Oryctolagus cuniculus: one gene and its partners. The protein of the gene in region 1 purifies or fractionates together with the protein of each later gene. This does not show direct contact. Links are inferred from orthologs where the notes say so. Each region holds a gene or a part of one and is shown in the gene's direction. Other genes may lie near its edges. The genes, in order: OTUD1, AIFM1, FLNA and FLNC.

What was found.
Region 2: the proteins of OTUD1 (region 1) and AIFM1 purify together in Homo sapiens (affinity purification with mass spectrometry; 3 studies listed by BioGRID, with this or other methods). This does not show direct contact. The link is inferred for Oryctolagus cuniculus from reciprocal best matches to the Homo sapiens genes OTUD1 and AIFM1.
Region 3: the proteins of OTUD1 (region 1) and FLNA purify together in Homo sapiens (affinity purification with mass spectrometry; 3 studies listed by BioGRID and IntAct, with this or other methods). This does not show direct contact. The link is inferred for Oryctolagus cuniculus from reciprocal best matches to the Homo sapiens genes OTUD1 and FLNA.
Region 4: the proteins of OTUD1 (region 1) and FLNC purify together in Homo sapiens (affinity purification with mass spectrometry; 3 studies listed by BioGRID and IntAct, with this or other methods). This does not show direct contact. The link is inferred for Oryctolagus cuniculus from reciprocal best matches to the Homo sapiens genes OTUD1 and FLNC.

What each region holds. Positions count from the first base shown.
Region 1 is NC_091444.1:105,924,702-105,929,488, reverse strand, and holds OTUD1 (OTU domain-containing protein 1), read left to right. Parts: upstream 1-1,716; 5' UTR 1,717-1,954; coding exon 1,955-3,226; 3' UTR 3,227-4,375; downstream 4,376-4,787. UniProt on the Homo sapiens protein: Deubiquitinating enzyme that specifically hydrolyzes 'Lys-63'-linked polyubiquitin to monoubiquitin.
Region 2 is NC_091453.1:107,805,785-107,809,541, reverse strand, and holds the end of AIFM1 (apoptosis-inducing factor 1, mitochondrial), read left to right. Parts: intron 1-147; coding exon 148-272; intron 273-2,046; coding exon 2,047-2,243; intron 2,244-2,553; coding exon 2,554-2,625; 3' UTR 2,626-2,832; downstream 2,833-3,757. UniProt on the Homo sapiens protein: Functions both as NADH oxidoreductase and as regulator of apoptosis.
Region 3 is NC_091453.1:132,580,953-132,585,259, reverse strand, and holds part of FLNA (filamin-A), read left to right. Parts: intron 1-1,091; coding exon 1,092-1,339; intron 1,340-1,451; coding exon 1,452-1,547; intron 1,548-1,706; coding exon 1,707-1,809; intron 1,810-1,912; coding exon 1,913-2,053; intron 2,054-2,159; coding exon 2,160-2,288; intron 2,289-2,483; coding exon 2,484-2,657; intron 2,658-2,744; coding exon 2,745-2,906; intron 2,907-3,007; coding exon 3,008-3,211; intron 3,212-3,292; coding exon 3,293-3,445; intron 3,446-3,540; coding exon 3,541-3,663; intron 3,664-3,749; coding exon 3,750-4,016; intron 4,017-4,163; coding exon 4,164-4,301; intron 4,302-4,307. UniProt on the Homo sapiens protein: Promotes orthogonal branching of actin filaments and links actin filaments to membrane glycoproteins. Anchors various transmembrane proteins to the actin cytoskeleton and serves as a scaffold for a wide range of cytoplasmic signaling proteins.
Region 4 is NC_091434.1:165,040,493-165,044,799, forward strand, and holds part of FLNC (filamin-C), read left to right. Parts: coding exon 1-458; intron 459-912; coding exon 913-1,086; intron 1,087-1,164; coding exon 1,165-1,327; intron 1,328-1,511; coding exon 1,512-1,672; intron 1,673-1,976; coding exon 1,977-2,144; intron 2,145-2,223; coding exon 2,224-2,347; intron 2,348-2,498; coding exon 2,499-2,655; intron 2,656-2,744; coding exon 2,745-2,934; intron 2,935-3,093; coding exon 3,094-3,117; intron 3,118-3,233; coding exon 3,234-3,481; intron 3,482-3,778; coding exon 3,779-3,877; intron 3,878-4,140; coding exon 4,141-4,240; intron 4,241-4,307.

The sequences.
Region 1 (4,787 bases):
GAAAGTGGACTAAGAGCCTGGGACGAGGTGTGCCGGCCTTTTTCTTCCCTTTCTGGCCTTTTGCCTTGCGGCCCTTGACCTCCAGGGCACGTGGCCTTCGGGCCACCCGCCCCAGGCTTCCTGGCCTGGATGCTCCTCCACGTGGCTGGCTCCCGGTGCTCGGTATGAACCCAGAGTTCCCTCTGCTACAGGCAGGGCCCTCATGCTCCTATGCATTTCTCTCACTGAATAAAAGCCTAAAACGTATCGTGCTGCCTCGTTCATCTATGCCGGTACTCGGAAGAACCCACGTGGGCTTATTAACATTGGGAGTTTACTAACAAGCACACGGTGATATCACGGCACCCCAGATGGGACTTTTGGGGACTTTTAGGAGGCCATATTCCGGTATCACAGCCATTCCCATCACACACCTGAGCCTCACTTCCCATCATGCACCAGGTGCCACACACCTTCCTAGAGGGTCCTGACTGCTCCAGCCCCACGTGGAGACGCCAGGACACTGTCCAGAGGCCCAAACAAAGGGGCCCAGAGCCTGCCAAACCCTGCTCCACTTGCATACTCACCTATGGCTCCACCACCCCCTCCCCCAGGAAAGTGTGAAGCCAACTGTGGTGGGGGCTGGCACTCACCTGTGAGCGTGTACCCTGCCCTTAAATGAACCCACACCTCCGCCTTCAATTCTTTCAGGCCTGGGACGAGCCCCCAGCAGGCGCCCATTCACCCTCTCCTGAGTTAAGGCACCTGGTGGGCTGAGGTCAGGAGTCCCCGCGAAGAACTCAATTCCGGCGCCTGGGGAGGGCATTTGGGCAGTGATTCAGCTGCAGCCTGGATGCCCGCCATCCACAGCAGAGCCTGGTTCCAGTCCTGGCCCCTCCACTTCCTGTCCAGCATTCCTGCTAACGGGCACGCTGGGATGGCCCAAGGAGCTGGGTCCCTGCCACCCGCGCCTGTGGGGACCTGGACCGAGTGAGTGCCTGGCTTGTGGCTTCGGCCCGGCCCAGCCCTGGCTGCTGTGGACACTTGGGGGGAATGCATCAGCAGATGGGAGGCCCGACTCTCTGCCTTTCAAATACAATGAAAATAAAATCCGAAATGCATTTGCAAGAGTCTGGCTTCTTTGAGAAACCCTGGGAATTCTTTCTTCACTCATCCCTTCAGTCAGTGTTAACACAGCCGCATCAGGTACTCAGCACTGGGGAGAAGGCGAGGGAAGGCATGCCCCTAACCCAGGGCTGCTGCCTGCGTCTCTAACTTCAGAACTCAGGAGAGCAAAGGCGGCCCAGGCGCAGCAGGTGGCGAGCCATGCCTTGCGTTTGCCTGCAGACAGGGGCTACGGGCGCAGACCAGCTGCATTCAGCTACAACCGCAACGCTGGCCCCGAGCAGCTCCCACCCGGCCTACCCAGCGCGGCCCAGCTGCAGCACGCGAGAGCCGAAACGCGCCACGCACCTGGGGAACCCAGGTCGGGCTGCAGGAGACGCGCGCCACTGCGCATGCCCAGGAGCCCCGGCCCCGCCCGCGCCCCGCGCTCCCGCCGGGCCACGCCCTTGACGTCGGGGGAGCGCGGGAGGGCGGGGCGCGGCCGGCGGGGCGGGGCGGGGCGGGGCGAGCCGCGCGCTTGACTGACGGGCCGCTCGTTCCGGCGGCCGCGGCGGCGGTCACGTGACGCGGCGCGCGGCCTGAGGTAAACAATCGCGGCGCCGCCTCCCGGCCGCCGCGCGCCCCGCGCTGCCCGTGGCCGGAGCGCAGCGCCGCGTCGTCCGGACACTGGCCGGCGGCCCGGGCGGGCCGAGCGCGCGCTGTGGCGCAGCAGCCCGTTTGGCCGGAGGCCCCGCGCGCTATTCGCGGGCGCTGACGCGCGCCGAGGCGGCCCGTTTCTATTCCGGGGGCCGCGGTCAGCGCGCTCGGCCGGGCCGCGCCTATTAAGGGCCGCGCGGCGGCGGCCGGGGCCATGCAGCTCTACAGCAGCGTCTGCACCCACTTCCCCGCCGGCGGACCGGGCCCCACGCCCGCCGCGCCCGCCGCGCCCACCGCCGCCGCCTTCAAGGTCTCCCTGCAGCCGCCCGCGCCGCCGGCCAGCGCCGCGCCGGAGCCCGAGACCGGGGAGGACCCGCCCGCCGCGCCCCGGGAAGCCGCCGCCGCCGCCGCCGCCGCGATGCCCGCCTTCTCCTCCTGCTTCGAGGTGGCCGCCGCCGCCGGCCCGGCCGCCGGCCCTCCCGGCGCGTCCTGCAAGCCGCCGCGGCCGCCGCACTACACGTCCACGGCGCAGATCACCGTGCGCGCCCTGGGCGCGGACCGCCTGCTGCTGCACGGCCCCGAGCCGGCCCCAGCCCCGGCCCCGGCCCCGGCCCCGGCCGCCCCGCGCGCCCGCTGCCTGCTGCCCGCCGCGCCGCGCCGCGCCGCCCCGGCCTGGCTGCTGGAGCCCGACGGCGCGGACAGGGACTTCCGACGGAGCGAGCACCAGCAGGCCCTGGCCGCCGGGCAGCGGGGGCCCGCGCCGCCCGCCAGCCCCGAGGAGCCCCGCGCAGCCCCCGGGCGCAGCCCCCGCGGCGACCTCGCGGGGCCTGCCGAGCCCGCCCCGGCCGAGGAGGAGCCGGCGGCGGCGGTGGTGGCGGCCGGGCGGGCCGAGCCCCGCGACGAGAAGCTGGCCCTGTACCTGGCCGAGGTGGACAGGCAGGACAAGTACCTGCGGCAGCGCGACCAGTTCCGCTTCCACATCATCCCCGACGGCAACTGCCTGTACCGGGCCGTGAGCAAGGCGGTGTACGGCGACCAGGCCCTGCACCGCGAGCTGCGCGAGCAGACCGTGCACTACATCGCCGACCACCTGGACCACTTCGGGCCGCTCATCGAGGGCGACGTGGGCGAGTTCCTCGTGGCCGCCGCGCAGGACGGCGCCTGGGCCGGCTACCCCGAGCTGCTGGCCATGGGCCGCATGCTGAACCTCAACATCCACCTGACGACGGGGGGCCGCTGGGAGAGCCCCACCGTGTCCACCATGGTCCACTACCTGGGGCCCGAGGACGCCCTGAGGCCCAGCATCTGGCTCAGCTGGCTCAGCAACGGCCACTACGACGCGGTGTTCGACCGCTGCTACCCCAACCCGGAGTACGAGCGCTGGTGCCGGCAGACGCAGGCGCAGCGGCAGCGCGACGAGGAGCTGGCCAGGTCCATGGCCGTGTCCCTGTCCAAGATGTACATCCAGCAGAACGCGTGCTCGTGAGCCCCCCCCCGGGGGGCGGGGCGGGGGCGGCGGCGGGAGCGCTGACCGGGGTCGCGCCCTGGGCGGTGTCCCCGTAGACGCCCTGCGGCGCGTGCTGCCTTAAGTCTTGTCTCGCGTCCCTCTTCCCTGGCTTGCTCTCCGAGCCGCCGGCTGCTGGGCACCTGCGCGATTCCGGAGAGCTCTGGGCGCCCCCGCTGCCTCCTCCTGGCCTGCTGATGCCTCGCCGCGTGGATCTGGTCCCTTCCCGGCACTCTATTTTATATATTAAAAAAAGAAGAAGAAGAAATAATGTATTTTTGCACAACCTTTTTAGAGACTGGCGGCCCGCCCTCGCGGGATGCGACGGGCGGCTTTCGGAAACTGCTTTCCACGACCTTGCTCTCTGGGACAGGCATCCGTGGCGGGTGGGCCTTCTGTCGTGGACGTGGGAGTCTCGCCGTCCTCTCTGATTCCGCGTGGACGCGGATGCGTGCGTGTATCCGGATGCTCCACCCATTCCGTGTTGACAGAGTTGTTGTTACGGAAATCATTATTTTTCTAGAGATGGTCGATTTTTTTTTTTTTTAAGAACCCAAGGGAAGGTGTGGGAAGATTCTGTTTGTTTTCCTTCAGAGGCAGTGCCAGGTCTTACTTGAATTAAAGTCTTGATTTCTGCTGTGGGCGGAGTGCCCGTGATGGCTGCTCTCGGGTGTGTGCAGTGGGTGTCTGCCCTCGTTGCTTTATCTCCAACTGTCACTTTGTTACACGAGGATTTCCACTCCAGTCTGTGACCAGATAAACCTCCTGCTTCCTGGCTTCTTGGATTCAGCTAAAGAGATCTGGAAACCAACGTAAACGCCTGGAGCCAGCCCTGGCAGGAATTTGACGGCAGGAAAATACTGTCTTAATATTGTGTTCAAAAGGCAAAATAGGAGTCCCCTGTGTTCTGTCAAGATGTCTGTGAACAGAGCTTGTGTGGTTTGCTGGGTCAAACGATGTTTCCAACCTACACTCTATCTCATTGCCACTTTACCTATTTTTAGTCCTATTTATTAAGTAATGCAGTTTGTACTTTTTTATTTTGTAACATTTTGTGATTTTTTTGTACAATACTGTATTTGAGCAATTCTCAGCTGATGGAATGAATAAAATGGCATAATTTTACTTTTACGACGTCTCTTTGGATGGAGTGTTCTTTAAGATGACGGTGTGTCTAGGAGCCGTTCGCACAGGTACGCGGGTTTTCTCACGTGTGGGCATGGAACCGACTTGAGAGGTTCTGCAGGTTCTCACGTGAGCAGAATGCTGTCAACGCTAGTGATGGCCAAGGATTAGTCCCAGGTGAGATGTAGCTGAAAGGAGGCGCAACCCAAGAGACTGCCCTCCTTACGTTACGTGTTGATTGGAGTTCCTGTTTGCAGTTGGAGCTGTGCCTGTTGGCTACTGCGAGGGAAGCGCGCGTTCTGTGTGAACCAGCAGTGTCTAAGTCTCGTACGTTTATGTTCCTCTCACCGCCAGCGTAGATCTTTAATGTATTTTTTTTTTTGCATTTTCTCAAAGAATTATTTCAAAGAGTTAGAGA
Region 2 (3,757 bases), on another chromosome or scaffold:
CAGCCTGGGATAATGGTGCCTCTCATGGTTGTCCCCAGATGCCCTCCCAGTGACAGATCAGCTTGGCATTTCTCTTATTGTCACACAGCCTAAGTCCCTGAGCCCGTGCGAGAGTGACAGGACACCCTCTTCTCTCTCCTTCCTTAGGAGTGACTTGGGCCCCGATGTTGGCTATGAAGCTATCGGGCTTGTGGACAGCAGTTTGCCCACAGTTGGGGTTTTTGCAAAAGCAACTGCACAAGACAGCCCAAAGTCTGCCACGGAGCAGTCAGGTAAGGAAGCCCAACCACTTCGCTTGGAAAGAGTGTCGAGCAGCAGTGGTCCAGGTTCTCCTGAACAAGGGGTTCCTGTGTGGCCAGAGGGGGCTGCCAGTGAAAGCCTCTCTTCATGGTGTGCTTGACAAGAAACCAGACCCAAAGTCCTCACTCTTTAGTGGGCTGTGATCTGGCAAAAGCATGCATCCCGCTCAAAGCACAGACTGAAATAGTGTGGGTGGCGGGCAGCGGCGGCTCAGCCACCCCGTTGTCTCAGTTGTCTCTGGGGCCTGGCAAGACCCATGTGATGAAGAAAGCCTGACTTTGCAGGTTTGGGTTTTGCTTTTCTTGACTTCGTGCTAATCTCCAGAAGCAGGCTTGGGAACCTTAGCCTCGGACCTGCCGTCCTCCACGGCTCCTGGGCAGTGAACTGAGTAGGACTGAGTAGGCCTGGAGCCCATTTCTGTTCATCAGATCTGAATGCCAGATTGCCTTTAGACAGGAGGCACCTCTCTTGGAATGGACTTCTCTCCCACACACGTCTCTTTCATTAACTCCCAGGCCTTATTCCACGACCTTGGCTCAAGTTCTTTAACCTCTGTATCTTCTTGCCAAAGGTGTTTCAAGGGCAAGTTGCTCTTTAAGAAGCAGAAAACGAAACATTATTTGGATGTTTAGGTCCCTTTCCTGTGTGACTCAAATGTATTCCATGCCTCTTAATTCTGGGCAGTCCTGGTACGTGGGTCCAGGAGAGAGGGCCACGTGCTTTATAGATACCAGGTCACTCACTGCTCTGTCCACTGGGCAGTGTCACTTAGAGCCTGCTGGTTCTCAGAAGACAAGATTCCCCCTTCCCAGGGTGCCATCTCCCTCCTTCCCTTACCCCTCCCCCTCTAGGAAGAAACGCCCCCGCTCTGGTTTTTCCATATGGAAGTGCCTTCTGCTTAGAGTGTCTGCTTAGCAGTGCCATCCAATAGAACCTTTTGCTATGATGGAAATGTTCTGGCTCTGCTCTCTCCACTTGGGGCTACTGAGTGCCTGAAACGTGGTGAGTGCAAACAAGTAACTCGAGCTGACATTTTACTTAACTTGAAATAATTTTCATTTAAATAGCTGTATGTGGCTTGTGGCTAATGAACAAGGCCATGCAGCTCTACAACGTTTCAGATGACAAAAACAAGAGCTCTGCAGTTTGAAGAAAATCAGACACAAGGAAACATGCACCGCATAAGTGGAGGCTGAGGGGCTGGTGTTGCGGCACAGTGGGTAAGCTGCTGCCTGCGGTGCCAGCAGCCCATTTTGGAGCACTGATTCCAGGCCTAGCTGCTCCACTTCCGATCCGGCTCCCTGCTAACACACCTAGGGAAACAGCGAATGATGGCCCAGGTACTTGGGCCCCTGCTAACCACATGGGAGACCCAGATGGAGTCCCAGGTTTCTAGCTTTAACCTAGCCCAGCCCCAGCTGTTATGGCCATGTAGGGAGTGAATCAGTGAATGAAAGATCCCCCCCCCCTTCAAATAAATGCATCTTTTAAAATATTTTAAATGAGATAGGAAGGGAAGGGAATTTGGGGTCAGGACTGGTCCAGTGCCCAAGAGCTGGCAAGAAAGAATTTTTCTTGGCTTCATCAGTAGAGAGGGGCTGAAGATGGCCAGAGTCCACCAAAAAAGCATACAAAAATCACCTAGAAGCAGCTTGAAGCAAGCCTTGGAAAAAAAAACTTGCCTTCTAGAATGTCATAAGGACTGAAGTTTTGACTGTGTATATGTGTTTTGTGTATTGGCCACAGGAACAGGTATCCGATCGGAGAGTGAGACAGAGCTGGAGGCCTCAGAAATCACGATTCCTCCCAGCACCCCTGGTGTCCCACAGGCCCCAGCCCAGGGGGAGGACTATGGCAAAGGTGTCATCTTCTACCTCAGGGACAAAGTGGTGGTGGGGATCGTGCTGTGGAACATCTTTAACCGAATGCCAATAGCAAGGAAGGTAGGTACCTGCCAGAGCACTTGGAGGCAGATGGGAAGTTGGGGCTAGAATGCACTCCTGTGGCTTCACCGGGTGCCCTGAGCTGCATCATCACCCCGGTGCAATGGTGCCCAAGCAGAACAAAGCTGTAGCCTGGGTTCAGGAGTGTTTCCTTTTTGCCCTGGGATGGAGCTGGGTGCGCTGTGAATTGGCACACTGGTCATTTTGAGCTAGTAGAATGCTGTTCCCACAACTCCCTCCCAGTGTGATATGGGCCCAGCCTGAACATGGCTGGGGTGAGTTCGGGACCTGTGCTTACTCTCTCCTTCAGATCATTAAGGATGGCGAGCAACACGAAGACCTCAATGAAGTAGCCAAACTGTTCAACATCCACGAAGACTGAAGCCCTGTAATGGAGTAGGCCAGCACGTCTTCCTCCCCGACTGTGGCTTGGATGGGCAAAGGAGCGGGGTTTTTTTAATTATTATTATTATTCAGCAAACTTTCTCTGGTGTAGAAGTGTGAATGATCAATTCCCTTGGGAATATTTTCAGCCACATAGGCAAATTCTTAATGTTCACATCATGAAATAAAATCTGATTCTTCTAAATTCCATTCTGTTCTCTTGTAAAGGGGGCAGGTGAGTGAAGGGGGAAAGCTGTGCATACGACACAAAAGCAAGCACTTTGCAGCTACTCCACACTCAGAACTCCTTTCAGCTCCCCCAGTCCCCTCCCTCTCCAGACCCCCCTCTGCGTGCACCTGCGGTGGCTTCTGCCCACAACACTTAACCCTGTCCTCTCAGAGGTTCTGTCTGAACACTCTCCTGGCCCTTCAAGCCTGATCCTTGTTTGTCTCTCTGCTAGCCCGTGGCTTCCTGGAAGCAGGAACTATGCCTTAAGGTCTCAGCCATGGTTCTATCTCTGGAGCTTAGCCCAGGGTCTGGCTCCTAGTAGGTGCTTAGTAAATTGTTGCTGAATAAGTGAAGAAATAAACATCCAATCAAGAGATTGGATGTTTACATGGAGCAGCACCTCCAGAGCTGAATGACTCCTAACTGGGGGATGAAAGGAGGTTTCCTCTTGGGTCTCATGGTCTCTGGATTCCTCTATCCACTGTGCCCCAAACTACTGACCTGCCCTCTTGAGCTCCTTTTCTCTAAACCATGCTTATAGGCATCCCTCCCTCTGCACATGATTTCTTGGGGGAGACAGAATTCCCTAAGCTCATTTGTTGGCATTTTAAATTACTAAACTTTTAAAAATCAGATCTTACTTCAATTAAGAGGAAATTTTTACTACTTTTAAAAGTCCTGTTAGGAATATTTCTGTAAGGAGAAAATTATGACATCTGGGTTTTTTAAAATATTCCATTTGATTAAAGGGACTTGCAGCTCCAACCAAATCCCTTCTGAACAGAGGGAGAACAGGCCAGATCTCCACTGTAAGAACTGGCTGCACTAGAACAGACCCTTACTATGTGGCTGCAGTTTAGTGGACATGAGCTGATGCATGCCGTAACCAAATCCATATGTA
Region 3 (4,307 bases), on another chromosome or scaffold:
GGGTAGTTGTGAGGCTGGAGCCCTAGCCATGAGCTGGGTGGTGTGGGGTGCAGGTGAGTGAGGCCTCCCAGGGCAGCAGATAGCCAGCTGTAGAGCCCAGGAGACCCACCTGGGCTGTGGTCAGTCAGCATAGTGCCTAAGCAGGGGGAAGAACCCTTGGCCAGTAGGGGGACTTGGTGGCAGACTGGCCAGGGGTGCCCCCTGAACTTGACCCTCAAGCAAGTTTGGTGCTCCTGGCTGCTTCCTTGGCAGGAGGCCAGGCTACAGGGGTGCTCTCGCTGCCAGGCCTCACAGCCCACAGCTCCCCAAGCCTCCACAGCTGAGCCCCAGATCATAACGTCACTGTACCTCCCCTTTCCTCGGGCACTCTGGGGCCCTAGAGGCTATTCAGCTTCTCTGCCCTTGCAACCCAGTGGTGGTGGCTGTGGCTTGGGCCTCCTGTCCCTGTCCCCCTGGGTGCTGCCACTGCTCTGCCAAACCTGCTGTGCTGCACTGCCTGGGTGCTAACCTGGCTGCCTCCCGCCTCCCTGCTCCCGCCTGCGCCGGGCTGCCTCTCACAGTGAGCCGCTGGTTGAGCGAGCATTCTCAGTTGTCAGGAGACTCCAGTTTCACCTCCAGGCCTGGAGGGGGGTAGGAAGGCAAGTGTCACGTCCCCCCACGCTGCAGCAGGACTCTGCCTCACCGCGTCCACACAGCACTGGGGGCCAGGGCTGGGCCACAGGGGGTCCAGGCAGCCGTGGGCCTGGCTAGAGCGCTGCTGTTTGTCAGCACGGGCCACGATGCCAGTGAGGCCAAGTGGGGCAAGGGAGGGAGGTGGCGGTAGATGCTCATGCCGAGATGGGCCCTTCCTTCTCTTCCTGGGCACCCGAGTGCCCCCGGTCAGGCCTCTCAGGTGTCAGGGCTTGAGGTGGTCAGGAGAAGCCTTCCTGTCTTCTGAGAAAGCACTCGCCATCCCAGCTGAGGGTGGGGCGGGAGGCCTGGCTGTGCTTGGTGGTGGCGTTGAGGCCTGGGGGGCAGCCGGAAGACAGGAGCAGCCCAAGCGCAGAGCTCACGTGCTGGCCTCCCTTCGGGGACCTGCCCTGCCCTATCAGGTGCTGGCATCGGCCCCACCATCCAGATCGGGGAGGAGACGGTGATCACCGTGGACACAAAAGCGGCAGGCAAAGGCAAAGTGACCTGCACGGTGTGCACCCCTGATGGCTCAGAGGTGGACGTGGATGTGGTTGAGAACGAGGACGGCACCTTTGACATCTTCTACACAGCCCCGCAGCCAGGCAAATATGTAATCTGTGTGCGCTTTGGTGGCGAACATGTGCCCAACAGCCCCTTCCAAGTGACGGTAAGGAGGGCCCGGGGGCAGGATGCAGGGGGCTCTTGACAGGTCCAGCCTGGCCCGTCCCCCAGGGCCCCGCTGCGACAACAGACTCTCCAGCTCCCGCTCTGCTCCACAGGCTCTGGCTGGGGAACAGCCCGCGGCACAGCCCCCGTTACGGCCTCAGCAGCTGGCCCCACAGTACACCTATGCCCAGGGTGGCCAGCAGACCTGGGTACGGCAGGGCTCACCACCTCGCGGATCGCCCGGCCCAAAGAGATGTTCAGGGCTGGTGGGCAGGGAGTCCCATGGGCCCCGGCCGCTCTGCCACCTGCGAGGAGGGACCCCCACGTGCCCCCACAGCCACTTACCTGGGCCCCGTGTCTCCATGCAGGCCCCAGAGAGGCCCCTGGTGGGTGTCAACGGGCTGGACGTGACCAGCCTGAGGCCCTTTGACCTCGTCATCCCCTTCACCATCAAGAAGGGCGAGATCACCGGTGAGCATGAGGCGGGAAGGAGCGCGGGAGCCCGGGCGGCCGGGGCGAGCCACTGGGCGGCCCTGACCCAGCTCCGCTGCCCCACTGCCCTGCTGCCCCGCAGGGGAGGTCCGCATGCCCTCAGGCAAGGTGGCACAGCCCTCCATCACTGACAACAAGGACGGCACCGTGACCGTGCGCTATGCGCCCAGCGAGGCTGGCCTGCACGAGATGGACATCCGCTACGACAACATGCACATCCCAGGTGGGCCACCCTGCCTCTGGCCGGCCGCTGCCACCGCCATCTCGCAGAGAGGTGGGGGTGGAGGCACATGAGGCTGCCGTTTGACACGGCCCCCTTCCCGCCTCAGGGAGCCCCCTGCAGTTCTACGTGGATTACGTCAACTGCGGCCACGTCACTGCCTACGGGCCCGGCCTCAGTCACGGAGTGGTCAACAAGCCCGCCACGTTCACCGTCAACACCAAAGACGCGGGAGAAGGTGAGCGGCGCGTGCTGGGCATCCGGGACCTCCCCACTGGGGCGGCTGAGGGCTGAACGTGGGCGGGGTCCCTAACGGGGTAGCCCCGCCTGCCGGCCCCCGCCCCGCCCCGCCCCACCAGCGGGGCTCCTCCTCAGCAGGCGTGGCGGCGTGTCCCCGGGCACGGTGCCCACCCTCACCCGCACCTCTGGCCAGGGGGCTTGTCGCTGGCCATCGAGGGGCCTTCCAAAGCGGAAATCAGCTGTACGGACAACCAGGACGGGACGTGCAGCGTCTCCTACCTGCCCGTGCTGCCCGGCGACTACAGCATCCTGGTCAAGTACAACGAGCAGCACATCCCAGGCAGCCCCTTCACCGCCAGGGTCACAGGTGGGTGGCACTGGGAGCGGGGGTGGGCGTGCTCTCCCCTTGCAGCCCGACGCAGTGACGGATGGCCGCCCCCCGCCGCCCCCGCAGGTGACGACTCCATGCGGATGTCCCACCTGAAGGTGGGCTCTGCGGCCGACATCCCCATCAACATCTCGGAGACGGACCTCAGCCTGTTGACGGCCACCGTGGTGCCGCCCTCGGGCAGGGAGGAGCCCTGCCTGCTGAAGCGGCTGCGGAACGGCCACGTGGGTGAGAGGCTGAGGGGACTGCGGAGGAAGAGCGGCTGTGTGGGCGGGCGTGGGTGGGGGTGTCCGCGCCCGCCCCCGCTGACAGCCCCGCCCCGTGCCCAGGGATCTCATTCGTGCCCAAGGAGACAGGGGAGCACCTGGTGCACGTGAAGAAGAACGGGCAGCACGTGGCAAGCAGCCCCATCCCGGTGGTGATCAGCCAGTCGGAGATCGGGGATGCCAGCCGCGTGCGCGTGTCCGGCCAGGGCCTCCACGAGGGCCGCACCTTTGAGCCCGCGGAGTTTATCATCGACACTCGAGACGCAGGTAGGTGGCGGAGGCGGGCCCGCGGGGGCGGGGGACGTGGGTGGCGCTGGGCAGCCTGGCTCAGGGCTGTCCATCGCCCAGGCTACGGGGGGCTCAGCCTGTCCATCGAGGGTCCCAGCAAGGTGGACATCAACACGGAAGACCTGGAAGACGGCACGTGTAGGGTCACCTACTGCCCCACGGAACCCGGCAATTACATCATCAACATCAAGTTCGCTGACCAGCATGTGCCTGGTAGGTGTGGTGACAGTGCAGCCCCGCCCTCCCCCCAGCCCTACCGCACCCGGGTGTAACCCGCGCGGGGCATGGGCCGCACTCTCTCCCTGCAGGCAGCCCCTTCTCCGTGAAAGTGACAGGCGAGGGCCGGGTGAAAGAGAGCATCACACGCAGGCGGCGGGCCCCCTCGGTGGCCAACGTTGGCAGTCACTGCGACCTCAGCCTCAAGATCCCTGGTAGGGGCTGTGGGGAGCCAGGGAGGGCTGCTGGGAGCAGGTGGGGGCACAGACCTCCTACCCACCGGGCCACCTCCTCCCTGCAGAAATCAGCATCCAGGACATGACCGCACAGGTGACCAGCCCCTCGGGCAAGAGCCACGAGGCCGAGATCGTGGAAGGCGAGAACCACACCTACTGTATCCGCTTTGTGCCTGCTGAGATGGGCACGCACACAGTCAGTGTCAAGTACAAGGGCCAGCACGTGCCTGGAAGCCCCTTCCAGTTCACCGTGGGGCCCCTGGGGGAAGGAGGAGCCCACAAGGTTCGTGCTGGGGGCCCTGGCCTGGAGAGGGCTGAAGCCGGAGTGCCAGGTAGGCCCGCTTGCCCACCCAGCTCTTGCTCTTCTGGGTGCCCGGGGGCAGTGGGGGGGAGGCTGCCGGCAGCCACGCCATCGGGGCCATGGCGAGGGGCTGAGGGCAGAGGCGCAACCCTCCAGGAGGAAATACCGCTCTCCACAGCCGAATTCAGCATCTGGACCAGGGAAGCTGGCGCCGGGGGCCTGGCCATCGCCGTCGAGGGCCCCAGCAAGGCCGAGATCTCCTTTGAGGACCGCAAGGACGGCTCATGTGGTGTGGCCTACGTGGTCCAGGAGCCAGGTACCG
Region 4 (4,307 bases), on another chromosome or scaffold:
CAACGGCGACGGCTCATGTGCCGTCAGCTACCTGCCCACGGAGCCGGGCGAGTACACCATCAACATCCTGTTTGCCGAGGCCCACATCCCCGGCTCACCCTTCAAGGCCACCATCCGGCCCGTGTTCGACCCGAGCAAGGTGCGGGCCAGTGGGCCAGGCCTGGAGCGTGGCAAGGCTGGCGAGGCAGCCACCTTCACTGTGGACTGCTCGGAGGCGGGCGAGGCCGAGCTGACCATCGAGATCCTGTCGGACGCCGGGGTCAAGGCTGAGGTGCTGATCCACAACAATGCTGACGGCACCTACCACATCACCTACAGCCCAGCCTTCCCCGGCACCTATACCATCACCATCAAATATGGGGGCCACCCTGTGCCCAAATTCCCCACCCGCGTCCACGTGCAGCCCGCCGTCGACACGAGCGGTGTCAAGGTCTCGGGGCCTGGTGTGGAGCCGCACGGTGAGTGAGAGAGAGCCTGGAGTGGAGGGTCGGGGGAGGAACAGAGCTGAGGGCTGGGTGAAGGCAGTCCAGTCCTTAGGGGCCCCAGCTACCCCAGGGAAGCCACTGAGCGAGTGAGAAAGCATTTTTCTGGGGAGATCCCTTCATTCATCAATTTAAGGGTCCCTCATCCAGAGAGGCTCCGCCCCCCTGCTCCAGCGAATACCGAGGGAGAGCTTTGGGGAAAGGGGGCAGCAAGAGATCTATGGGGGATCTTAGGGAGGCACCAGCAGGGGGTGGGCAGGCCTGCCTCAAGGGCCCACAGCCTTCTGGGATGCCCAGAGTGGACAGAGTGAGGGCAGCAAGGGCAGAGGCTGTGGGAGACGGCTCGCAGCTCCCAGGGCTGCAGAGAGGGGGACCCGCTGTGGGCAGGCTGCCCCCGGGCCACGCTGAGCGCGCCTGTCCTGGGGTCCAGGTGTCCTGCGGGAGGTGACCACTGAGTTCACGGTGGACGCAAGGTCCCTGACGGCCACAGGCGGCAACCACATCACGGCTCGGGTGCTCAACCCCTCCGGCGCCAAGACGGACACCTACCTGACCGACAACGGAGACGGCACCTACCGCGTGCAGTACACAGCCTATGAAGAGGGTGAGGGGCACGCTCAGGACGGCGGGGGCGGGGCGGGGGGAGTCACCCTCCATGGCTGACTCTGGCGCTCGCCTCCAGGTGTGCATCTGGTGGAGGTCCTGTATGATGACGTGCCTGTGCCCAAGAGCCCCTTCCGCGTGGGCGTGACTGAGGGCTGTGACCCCACCCGGGTCCGGGCCTACGGGCCAGGGCTGGAGGGTGGCTTGGTCAACAAGGCCAACCGCTTCACGGTGGAGACCAGGTACCTTCCCCTTGGCCCAAGCCTGACTTGAGCCTCTGACCGCCCTCAGCCTGGCCACTTGACCTTGTTCGCCCCTCTCTGGGTGCCCCACCCCCACGCCAAGCTCCCCTCAGCGTCACAGAGCGGCCCCGCCCCCTCCCCTGCTCCTCCACCACAGCTGAGGGAGGCTGCCCTCTTCCTGCAGGGGGGCCGGCACCGGAGGCCTCGGCCTGGCCATCGAGGGCCCCTCGGAAGCCAAGATGTCCTGCAAGGACAACAAGGACGGCAGCTGCACCGTGGAGTACATCCCCTTCACCGCCGGCGACTACGACGTCAACATCACCTTCGGGGGGCGGCCCATCCCAGGTGTGCGGGGGGGCCGCATTTTTTTTTAATCGTATCAGCCACAATGTCAACACTGTGTTTTATTTTTTAAGCCACATTCCACTTTTAGCATTTCCCTAATTCAGGAAGGCCTCTTTCTTACCCGTGACCCAGCCAAGCAAGGTTTGCCCAGCCTCTGTCTGCGGCCAAGTTCACTGATCCTTGTTCGTGCCTTCTTAGCAAGTTCCTGAGTGCTGCGGGCACCTGCCTGCCTCCTGTGCGGTGCCTGGGTGTCAGGGGCCCCACCCCAGCAGCTGGGTGAGGGCCGATGTCCTCCTCCTTGTAGGGAGCCCGTTCCGGGTGCCGGTGAAGGATGTGGTAGACCCTGGGAAGGTGAAGTGCTCAGGGCCAGGACTGGGTGCCGGCGTCCGGGCCCGCGTCCCCCAGACCTTCACCGTGGACTGCAGTCAGGCTGGCCGGGCCCCCCTGCAGGTGGCTGTGCTGGGACCCACAGGTACAGACTGTCTGGGGTAGGGTGCTGGGAGGGGGGCTGGGATCCAGGAGGCCCTGCTGACCCTGCGCCCCCTGCGCAGGTGTGGCCGAGCCTGTGGAGGTGCGTGACAATGGGGATGGCACCCACACTGTCCACTACACCCCCGCCACTGACGGGCCCTACACGGTAGCGGTCAAGTACGCCGACCAGGAGGTGCCACGCAGGTGAGGACCAGCCTCGGGTTCCCAGCTCTATGGCTGAGCTCTGGGGTGGGCTCTGCTGGGTCACTGCTGGGCTGTGGGGACAGCCCTGCCCATCTGCCTGAGCCTCGTCATGCCCCAGCCAACACAGTCCATCCCTTTCCACCGCCCCCAGCCCCTTCAAGATCAAGGTGCTGCCAGCCCATGACGCCAGCAAGGTGCGGGCCAGCGGTCCTGGCCTCAACGCTGCCGGCATCCCAGCCAGCCTGCCTGTGGAGTTCACCATAGATGCCCGCGATGCCGGTGAGGGGCTGCTCACCGTCCAGATCCTGGTGAGTCCACACCCAGTCCACCTGCTAGCCGGGCTCTGGGCATAGACAGAACTTGACCTCTGCTTCCTCCCCACCTCACCCGGCCCCAGGACCCTGAGGGTAAGCCCAAGAAGGCCAACATCCGGGACAACGGGGACGGCACGTACACCGTGTCCTACCTGCCCGACATGAGTGGCCGCTACACCATCACCATCAAGTACGGCGGCGACGAGATTCCCTACTCCCCCTTCCGCATCCACGCCCTGCCCACTGGGGATGCCAGCAAGTGCCTCGTCACAGGTGAGCACCCGCCCCACGGCCCCTGCCCTGCCTACCACCCAGCCCCAGGGGAACGCCATGCAGGGCGCCCACCCTTGGCCCTCGCCCCCGCCTCCCCTGGCTCCCCTTCCCACCCCCGACCTGAGCGCAGCACGGCCTCACACTCTTCTCTATTTCCAGTGTCCATTGGAGGCCACGGCCTGGGTGAGTCCCTTCCTCTCCTCTTCTTGCTAGGGGCTGAGGTGCTAGAGGGCAGCTGGGAAGGGGCCGAGCTGGGCCTGGGGACCCACAGCCCCTGACCCGGCTCTGCTGCGTGGCAGGTGCCTGTCTGGGCCCCCGCATCCAGATCGGGGAGGAGACCGTGATCACGGTGGACGCCAAGGCAGCGGGCAAGGGGAAGGTGACATGCACGGTGTCCACCCCGGACGGGGCAGAGCTCGACGTGGACGTGGTCGAGAACCACGACGGCACCTTCGACATCTACTACACAGCGCCCGAGCCGGGCAAGTACGTCATCACCATCCGCTTCGGGGGCGAGCACATCCCCAACAGCCCCTTCCACGTGCTGGTAAGTTCCGGGGAGGCCGCAGAGCTGGGCGTGGCCGGAGGGGAGGGACCAAGAGATCCCTGCTGGGTCCCAGGGCCCCCAGTGCTCCCTGAATTCCCCACAGCGTCCCATAGGGGGCGCTGAGTGTAGCCCAGGCCATCAGCTTTGTGACAGAACTGTCTGACCCTCAGTCCCACTGTCCCCAGGGGCAGCCCTGCAGGAGGGGGAGGCCCTCCAGAGGGCGGAGCAGCTGGGGTACCCACCCAGGGCCGCGCTGAGTCGGCCGCATCCTGTGCCCCCCGTGCCTTGCCTCTCCAGGCGTGTGATCCCCTGCCTCAGGTGGAGGAGCCCTCCGAGGTGCTGCAGCTGCGCCAGCCCTGCGCCCCTCCCCGGCCCGGCACCTGCCCCCCACACTGGGTACTGGCGCACCTCGCCTCCTTCTCCTGCCCTTCCTTCGTTTCTTCCTCCTGTCTCTCCGCAGGCTGGGGCTTGGTGTGGGGGTCTCTTGGGGAACAGGCAGGAGTCAGGCTGGACATGGCACCCCCTCTCCTGTAGCTGGCTGCACCTTTCCTGCAGGCTGTTCTGGTTTCACCATTAACCATCTTCTTCTTTCCTCGCTCTCTCCAACTCTGGGCCCAGGCCCTCCCCAGCCTCTGACTGTCTGCTCTCACCCCCTGCAGGCCACGGAGGAGCCAGTCGTGCCCGTGGAGCCCCTGGAGTCCATGCTGAGGCCCTTCAACCTGGTCATCCCCTTCACGGTGCAGAAAGGGGAGCTCACAGGTAGGGCCCTGGGGCCCCAGGCACGAGGGCTCGGAGGGCAGAGACCCTCTTTCAGGCCCAACCCCTT